Caenorhabditis elegans: one gene and its partner. The protein of the gene in region 1 interacts with the protein of each later gene in a pairwise test. Each region holds a gene or a part of one and is shown on either strand. Other genes may lie near its edges. The genes, in order: mys-2 and ZK899.6.

Region 1 (4,906 bases):
AGTTTTTAAGGCCAAAAATGCAGTTTTTCATGGGATTTTTCGAGAAAAATGCTGATTTTAGAGTTTTTTAGAAAATTATTCAGTAAAACGACTACAAACTACATAACCATTTTATGGGCGGAGCCTAAGCCACGCCCTTTTTCGGATTATTTTTTCCATTTTGTGGGCGGAGCCAGAGCCGGAATTTTTTTTGGGAAAAAAAAAAACTTATTTTGGAGCTTTTTAGGCCAAATTTGTGCGGAAAAAAGGCTACAAACTACAAAATGGATCGATTTTTCGTATTTTTGGGCCAAATTTCCGGTTTTCTGGCTATTTTTACGGGAAAAACTGCCAAAAAAAAAGCATTTTCTCACATCAATGTGCTGCTTGAATCGTTCGTGATGAGGTGTGTAGAGTAGGCAATATTCACACATATAAATGTCCAAATTTTCACAGTCAGGCGGAAACGGTGAATAGTACCAGGCGAGAATCTCGTGAGCGCCTATCGTTATTTGTGGTATGTTCTTCACTTTTGTACGCTGCAAAAAAAGTAGGATTTTAGGGGGAAAAATTGATAAAAGTGCAAAAATTGACTTAAAATCTCGATTTTCTGGCTTAAAAATTTGAAAACTTGATTAAAAAGCTTTAAAAAGTGGGTTTGCCATTGAAAAATTCACGTTTTACATTGAAAAAATGTTGGTTGAGGCTATAGACTACAAACTACAACAATTTCAAGCCTCAACCAATTTTTATTTGATTTTTCTATTAAAAAAAGCGGATTTTACACTTTTTTGAGCAGATTTTCCGACTTTTTTCGAATTTTCTCTCAAAAATTCCGTATTTCTTCAGAAAAAAAAAGAATTTAGGTGAATTCGGGTGGATTTTATGGGAAAAATCGATTTAAATGCAAAAAAAGTGACTCAAATCTCGATTTTCTGGCTTAAAAATTTGAAAACTTGATAAAAAGCTTTAAAAAGTGGGTTTGCCATTGAAAAATGCACTTTTTACAGTTAAAAAATGTTGGTTGAGGCTATACACTACAAACTACAAAATCCTAGCCTCAACCAAGTTTTTCAGGAGAAAAAATCGTGTTTTTCGGGTAATAAAGGGTGTTTTTTAATGAAATTTGCCAGATTTTGGCCCATGTTGGAGCGAAAATTGAGAAAATTGTGATTTTCAACCAAATTTTTCGATTTTTTTCGATTTTTCTCTCAAAAGTCCCGTATTTCTTCAAAAAAAAAAAAGAATTTTGGGGGAATTCGGATGGATTTTATGGGAAAAAAATCTATTCAAATGCAAAAATTGACTTAAAATCTCGATTTTTTGACTTAAAAATTTGAAAATTCGATTAAAAAGCTCAAAAAAGTGGGTTTTCCATTGAAAAATTCACTTTTTTTACAGTAAAAAATGTTGGTTGACGCTATACACTACAAACTACAAAATCCTAGCCTCAACCAAGTTTTTAAGGAGAAAAAATCGTGTTTTTCGGGTGAAAAAAGGGTACTTTTTTAATGAAATTTTCCAGATTTTGGCACTTTTTGGAGTGAAATTGAGAAAATTGTGATTTTCAACCAATTTTTTCGATTTTTTTCGAATTTTCTTCAGAAAATCCCGTACTTCTTCATGTTCCCGTTCTAGCCGGGCGGTCGTGGCGTCCAAATCATTAAGATCCGTTTTTAAATGTGAATATTCTTCCAATGTCCTCCGCTGACTTCGTGTTAGGGCTCCAGATGGCTTTATGACGGGCGGTCCGACGACAATTTCCTTGTGTAGATCTTCGACAGGCGCTTTTGTGGGCACTTTGATCACCGGCTCGACTACCACTTCGTTTACGAGAATTCTGAATGAAAATCGATAATTTTTTCGAATTTTGTAGTTTGTAGTCTCTCTAAGTGACTACAAAATACAAAAAATTGTGAAAATTTGAGAAAAATCGGCGAAAAATGAGAGAATTTTGATGCGAAATGGATTTGGTTTCAGATTTTGTTTTTCAAATTTTCACGATTTTTGTAGTTTGTAGTGGGAGAACCTCACCTAGAGGCACTACAAACTACAAAAATATTAGCCTCACCAAAAAATGTTGTAGTTTGTAGTTTTAGCAATTTGTAGTCCCAGCGCCTCAACCATTTTTGAGTGAGGCGCGGAGACTACAAACTACAATATTTTAGCCTCAACCAAAATACGTTTTTGCTCAAAATATTGCAAATTTTAGCTTTTTTTAAACATTTTCAAAAAAACTTATCAGATTTTGCTAAAACTACAAACTACAACATTTTTTGGTGAGGCTAATATTTTTGTAGTTTGTAGTGCCTCTAGGTGAGGTTCTCCCACTACAAACTACAAAAATCGTGAAAATTTGAAAAACAAAATCTGCAAAAAATGAGGAATTTCTAAGCGAAATGCATTTGGTTGAGGCTATCTATTTTTGTAGTTTGTAGTCTTCGAGCCTCAACCATCATTGAGTGAGGCTCACAAACTACAAACTACAACATTTCTCAGCCTCAACCAAAATACGTTTTTGCTCGAAATTTCGCGATTTTCATAGATTTTTGCCCATTTTTCTGCAATTTTCTCCACACGAACTTGTCCAGCGTAATCCATTCATCATTCCTCCGATCCAACTCCTCATAATGCACATAATACATGAGCTCTTTCGCTCCTTGCTCGTGATTCTCAATGGATTTATAGTTATTCGTGCGGACTTCTTGCGGCGGTTTTCGAAAATCAATGTGTATAATTACGGCGACCACCTGGAAATTTGATTTTTAATGGAAAAAAAAGAGATTTTTCTCGAAAATTTTCAGGAAAAATCAACAATAATTTCTGGTTTTTAATCGATTTTTTCACAAAAAAAAAAAAAGCGATTTCCGAACCTTTTTCACAGTATTAATAATGAATTTCTCGACCATATATCGTTTGTTAATTATTGGCATTATTTGTTGTTGCGGGGGTTCACTGTCATTTCCGCCGGGAGCAGCTGCCTCATTTGTTGAGTCGTGTGCTCGTTTCCTCGGCTCTCGTTTGCTCATTTTGTCTGGAAATTTTTGCTGAAATCGGCTGAAAATCGGGTCGAAAAATTCGATATAAAACACCGTAAATTACAGTTAAAAATTTAAAAATTTAAATTTTCAAAAATCAAAAATCGAGTATTTTTAATATAAATTAGAGTCAATTTCGTGTGAAAAAAAAAATTTAAAAAAATAAATACTGTAAGCAGAGAAAAGCGTCGTGGAACTTCGTGATATCATCAAAATGACAGTTTGCATCTTTGGTGCGCGGCCAAGATAGACATGGAATGAGTGATTTGGTAAAAATTTGGGGCTAAAAAATGGGGGGAAAAATCAATAAATAACAAGTATTACGGTAGATACAGAAAAAAAAATGGCAAAAAAAGCAGGAAAAAGTACTGAAAACGTCGATTTTTGGTGGAAAATCTGTTGGGTGAGGCTATAGACTACAAACTACAAAATTTGGCGAGCCTCACCCAATTTTTATCAAATTTTCGCGATTTTTCGCTTAAAAATCACCAAAAAACCGAAGAATTTCAATTTTTAACAGATAAATAGGTACAATTGGGGGAGCGGCGGGGTGAGTTCAAACAGTTTGTGTCGCGTCTTCTGTTGTTCCATGAATCGTTTGCACTCCGATTGTGTGATGGTCCTGCAACAAAACAAATAAATTGACTTAAATTGTAGTTTGTAGTCATTATGCTCGATTTGCGAGAAATCTAAACGGGAAATGAGTGAAAAATTCGAGAAAATCACGTGAAAATGACCTAGAAATCGATGTTTTTGTAGTTTGTAGTCTTTGAGCCTCAACCATCTTTGAGTGAGGCTAAGAGACTACAAACTACAAATTCAGCTCAGCCTCAACCAATTGGTTTTCGCTTGAAATTTTCGCGATTTTCATCGAATTTTTCTCGAATTTTCACTAAAATTTCGCAAAACTGATGAATTTTGGGGTGAGAAAATCCAAAATTTCGAACCTCATCCTCAACTTGTGTCCTAAGCGGACCACTTTCCACGTCACCAACTTGTGTTTCTGCGGTAGCTGCGGGGGTTCTTCGTGTACGTCGGGAGCCTGAAAATATCGAAAATTGTTTAAAAAAAAAGGAAAAAAAAAAGGAAAATTGGAGTTTTCTAAAGCATTTTTTCTCCAAAACAATGGTTGAGGCTCGAAGACTACAAACTACACAAAGTCCTCTGAGCCTCAACCATCGTGGTTGAGGCTATACTGGTTCTGTAGTTTGTAGTCTACAGCCTCAACCAACTTTTTTCTCGCTTTTTCCTTCGAAAAAATCGTTTTTTCTTCAAAAGTTCGGCGTTTCGACTAAAATTCGGCTGAAAATTCCGAATTTTTCAGTTAAAAACTTAAAAATCTCACCCAAAAGCCCATCAGCTGCCAAAAGCCGGTAAGTGAGCACTGTATTTGTGGAGGCGAGCGAGGCGATGACTAGACCGTTAATAATTGATACATACCACTCGAGATCCGGAATTGAGACCACCTGGAACATGGAAATTGTGCAAATTTTGCCGTGTTTTTAGTGAAAAAATCATCGAAAACTCGATTTTTCCACTGAAAAATGCACAAAATCTCACCACAAAATAGACTAAATACGCAGAAACGCAGAGACGGAACGCGAAAAGTGTCACCATATTGAGCAGAGCGATTATACGGAACGATGGGCTCTTCTTGTCGACTCCGTACCTGGAAAAATAGGTGATTTGGCTGAAAATCACGGAAAAATCGCTGAAATTACAAGTTCAACAAGCTCCTCGAGTGCAGGAAAATCGAGTTGAGCTCCATGAGCAATCCGAACACAACGACGCCGAGGAATCGGTTGAAAAACTGCAAAAAAATTGGGTTTTTTGGGGGATTTCAGCAGAAAACCCTCACCATTGTGACGGCGAACGCGGAAAGAACGACA
Region 2 (3,809 bases), on another chromosome or scaffold:
ATTGGATAATCGAGTAAGGATCTGTATTAGAGTTAGTTTGCGACATATATATATATATATATATATTTTATCAATAAAAAGGTAAAACTGATATGGCATATTGAAGCATGTATTGAACCTCTAAGTGTTCAAAGGAAAGCTTACGTATAATCAGCAAAAATGAACATTAATCGAAGGTTCACGCGATTCACATTTGCATTTCATGATTTTTCTTAAAGATTCTAAGATACATGTTATAATGAGATTTTGGCGTCAAAAATGCTCATTTAAAAAAATCCTATTTACATGTCCGTGTTTGTGAAAAAACTACTTGAATAGATTTAAACACAAATACACTTTTTAGTACATTTGCAATAATTAAACAAAATTTGAAGATGAATATCACATATAATTAAATATATTCGCTATCTGTGTTTCCAGAGCACAACTATTGTTTTCAAATCTCGCGTAACTCATTTCTAATTGAAGTCAGACTAAAAGTGTTCTTTCTCGTTGATGTATACTTTTTTATCGATAAATTAAGTAACTATTTGTTGTAAATGCGCAATTTTTTTTGAGAAAACATCAGTTTTTGTCACGAATTGATTGGTAATATTTTCTGATCGAAGTAGGTACAAATCACTTTTGACTTTGATTGAAACCCATTTTTTATAAGACAAAACCGGCAATTGCCGAAGTTGCCGATTGCCGGGAATTTTGAAAACCGGCAATTGCGGGAATTGCCGATTGCCGGAAATCAGAATTGCCGGAAATGTAAAGTTGATACTTCTTTGTAGATTTACGAGCCTAAAGAGGCATTTCAATGAACAATTTTCTCTTTTCAAGCTCGAAATGTTTTAATCCTACAATGATTTACCATTTTATTTAAGAAAATGACTGATCGAATACTATAAAACACTGTGAACATTTTCACTTTCCAAAATATAATTAGGTTTGAAAATTGCCGAAAATGTCCGGCAATCGGCAATTTCGGCAATTTCGGCAATTGCCAAAATTGTCCGATTGCCGCGCAGCCCTGGTTGAGAGGACACTTTCTTGGTAGACAAAGTTTATTCTTTATTTTTTTGGAAACAGTTTTTCAGAAGATAAAACCCTTACGAAAAATAGAAAAGTGAAAAGCAGAAACAGTTATTTTTCAAGAAAACGGCGGGGAACAATTTGAACAGTCAAATAAAATCTCCGATTTTTTTTTCTTTATTGATTTGCGTTTGTTCAAATGATTTTAGTTATAATTTTATAATTTTAATTCGTATCTTTACCTAAGGATCCTTACAACCTGATTCCGAGAAACAAGTAAAACTTAATCATTACTCAAGCATAACTTATTGATTCAAACACGCTAATAATAGAAGAATGAAAAATGAATGCGGTCTCAATAAGCAGAAACTTGAAAAGTTCACCACACGTGTCTTTCTTTGAGTATCTTCAAGAAAAATCATAACATGTGAATCTGAAACATACGAACTTTCGATTGAAGTTCAGTTTTTAAATATAAAATCTTCGTATTTATATTAAAATGCATGTTTAAGCTCAATTCATGCTTTGATCTTCCATTTATCAGTTTTAATTTTGTGAAAATATATATGTCGCAAACTGTACCCCAGCTTAAATACAAATCTTAAGTCCATCATCAAGTGTTACAGTTCAAAATACCCAAAATCTGTCTTTTTTGTTGTAACTAATTTATTGTTTCCATCGTCTTTCTTGGTAAATTTCTTATAATGCACTAGTAGGTTTTTGAAAGTATCGTCATTTCGGAAGACAGAGTGTCAATATGACATGTAGCCGATTATCTGTTTTTTTTATTCATAATATTGTTTAAAATCCTAATTTCAGCCCTAATTTGACAATTTTCAGAATGACTCCCGTCACTAGCATTCCTCACAGAATTTTCGACATTTGGAGAACTCCAATAAACATCAACACTTGTCGCAGTTTCTTGAGTAAGCTACAACCTAATCCAATTTCTTGACTAATAGCGTTTCTTCAGATATCCACAAGTTACAGTGCTCAGATTGCAGTTCAAAGTTCGATTCGGAAATCCCATTTATTCAGCATATTGATGAATGTCTCGAAAATGCAAAACGCGATTTGAATGTAAGTCAAATCTTTGTAAAATTAAAATTCAATTGTTTTCTACTTTCAGTATCACATGCACATGCACGGAAATCGTCTTTTAATGATGACTCAACGTGTTTCTGAATTGTATGAAGCATCTGAGTGCAAGAAGTGTGGAATGTGTATGGAACGTTTCAACGAAGAAGCCAAAGTGATTATTCATTCCAAACAATGCACGAACTACAAATCCGAGTACTCAACGTTCATTCAAAATTCAAAAGCTCTATTTGGAAACATGCTTACTTCATATGATAGTCTCTGTAATCTCTTCCAGTACTTTGAAACTGATGAGCGCATCATTCAAATTAGAGAGGATCTAAAGCAGCCATTGCCCGAAGGAGTTATCCCAAATTTGGAGCCTGTTGGACCTGATCTTCATTTCGATGAACTCTCGGAGTACTTCATTGAAAAGTACCAGGATTACATGATTGACGTTTCGAATATGATTGATGTCGTCTTTGTTCGTTATTTGATCAAGAAACAGAAAGATGAAAGAACTGGAAGTATTGTCTACTCTTTCCCAACTAAAAGAATGTCCAGAAGCATTGATCACATGGAAGACGCTACTGACACAGAAACTTCCGATGTTTCAGAGGATGAGCAGGTGGAGGAATCTGATTGGGATGAGTATGATTCTGATAAATTGGACGACGGAGAAGAAGATATCAACAATGAAGGTATGGAGATCGTCTACGCTGCTGATCAGGAAGTCAATGAAGAATCGTTTGAATTTGAAGACTTTGACGAGGAAATGATTGATGTCGAAACCATGTAAAACTTCTCAATTTAAAGAACAAATTTTTGTTTTTGTTACAAAGCTACCATTGCTGAACTGAGTTGTGCTCAGTAAATTTGAAGTAATTCCGTTTCAGAAAATAACTTATTTTTTGCTCCATTCTTGTTCCAATCTTAGTTTATTCACTCATTGATCTCTTTGACTTAATATGCTTCTTGATTCTCCTTCTCTCTTGAATAACTTGCTTTGTAGTTTTTTGTTTGTTTGTTCACTTGTTCACAGCATTGCACTGCACCTTTCTTTGCTTGATTGTCATTGCCTTAATGATTTAAAACCGCACTTTTACAATAGCATGAAATAAAATCACTTTTTACATTTCTCAACACACAAGTTCTCAAATATTACAAATGTAGAAAATATGCAATTTTATCGAAATGAGGCAGCATTTGCATTGACATCGTTGAAGAGTACATATTTTTATTGTTGTATGATTGTTCGATCTAAACTTCAGACAATTGTTTAGCAATCAGAAGTTTAACAACATAAATCATGACTCTCCATGCTCCGTGATCAGGAAATGACCCTCTAAACAAGTTAATGATTTGAAATGGTTTATGGGGGAATAATATAAACTTTATTTGTTTTCATCTAGACTTGATAATATTTGTGTGTCCTCCCGAAACACAACAACAATGCCGTCTGGTGCCCCTTCGACCTATACATAAACAAGGTCACGATCAATAAATGTGACGTGTCGAAATTTTCAGAAATGTGTTATTCATCTAACAGTTGCAGAACTTTCCAAGTTTTAGAAAATTAATAATAATTTTTGTAAGTGTTCTTTGGTATAGAGAGCATATAGTTTTTTCTGAGAAAAAACTTCGAACAATGTTTTTTTCACTTACAAAAATTTAACAGAACCTGTTGGCTTCAAAGGTATATATTTTTAGTCGTG

The links.
Region 2: the proteins of mys-2 (region 1) and ZK899.6 interact in a two-hybrid assay, tested with the Caenorhabditis elegans proteins (one large-scale study listed by BioGRID).

What each region holds. Positions count from the first base shown.
Region 1 is NC_003279.8:14,116,860-14,121,765, reverse strand, and holds the start of mys-2 (Histone acetyltransferase), read right to left. Parts: upstream 3,014-4,906; 5' UTR 3,009-3,013; coding exon 2,853-3,008; intron 2,730-2,852; coding exon 2,563-2,729; intron 1,820-2,562; coding exon 1,597-1,819; intron 519-1,596; coding exon 354-518; intron 1-353. Other genes in the region: TLC domain-containing protein fld-1, read right to left, coding at 3,574-3,639, 3,965-4,059, 4,363-4,483, 4,578-4,686, 4,739-4,827, 4,876-4,906.
Region 2 is NC_003284.9:9,461,498-9,465,306, forward strand, and holds ZK899.6 (C2H2-type domain-containing protein), read left to right. Parts: upstream 1-1,847; 5' UTR 1,848-1,858; coding exon 1,859-1,943; intron 1,944-1,990; coding exon 1,991-2,097; intron 2,098-2,146; coding exon 2,147-2,893; 3' UTR 2,894-3,244; downstream 3,245-3,809.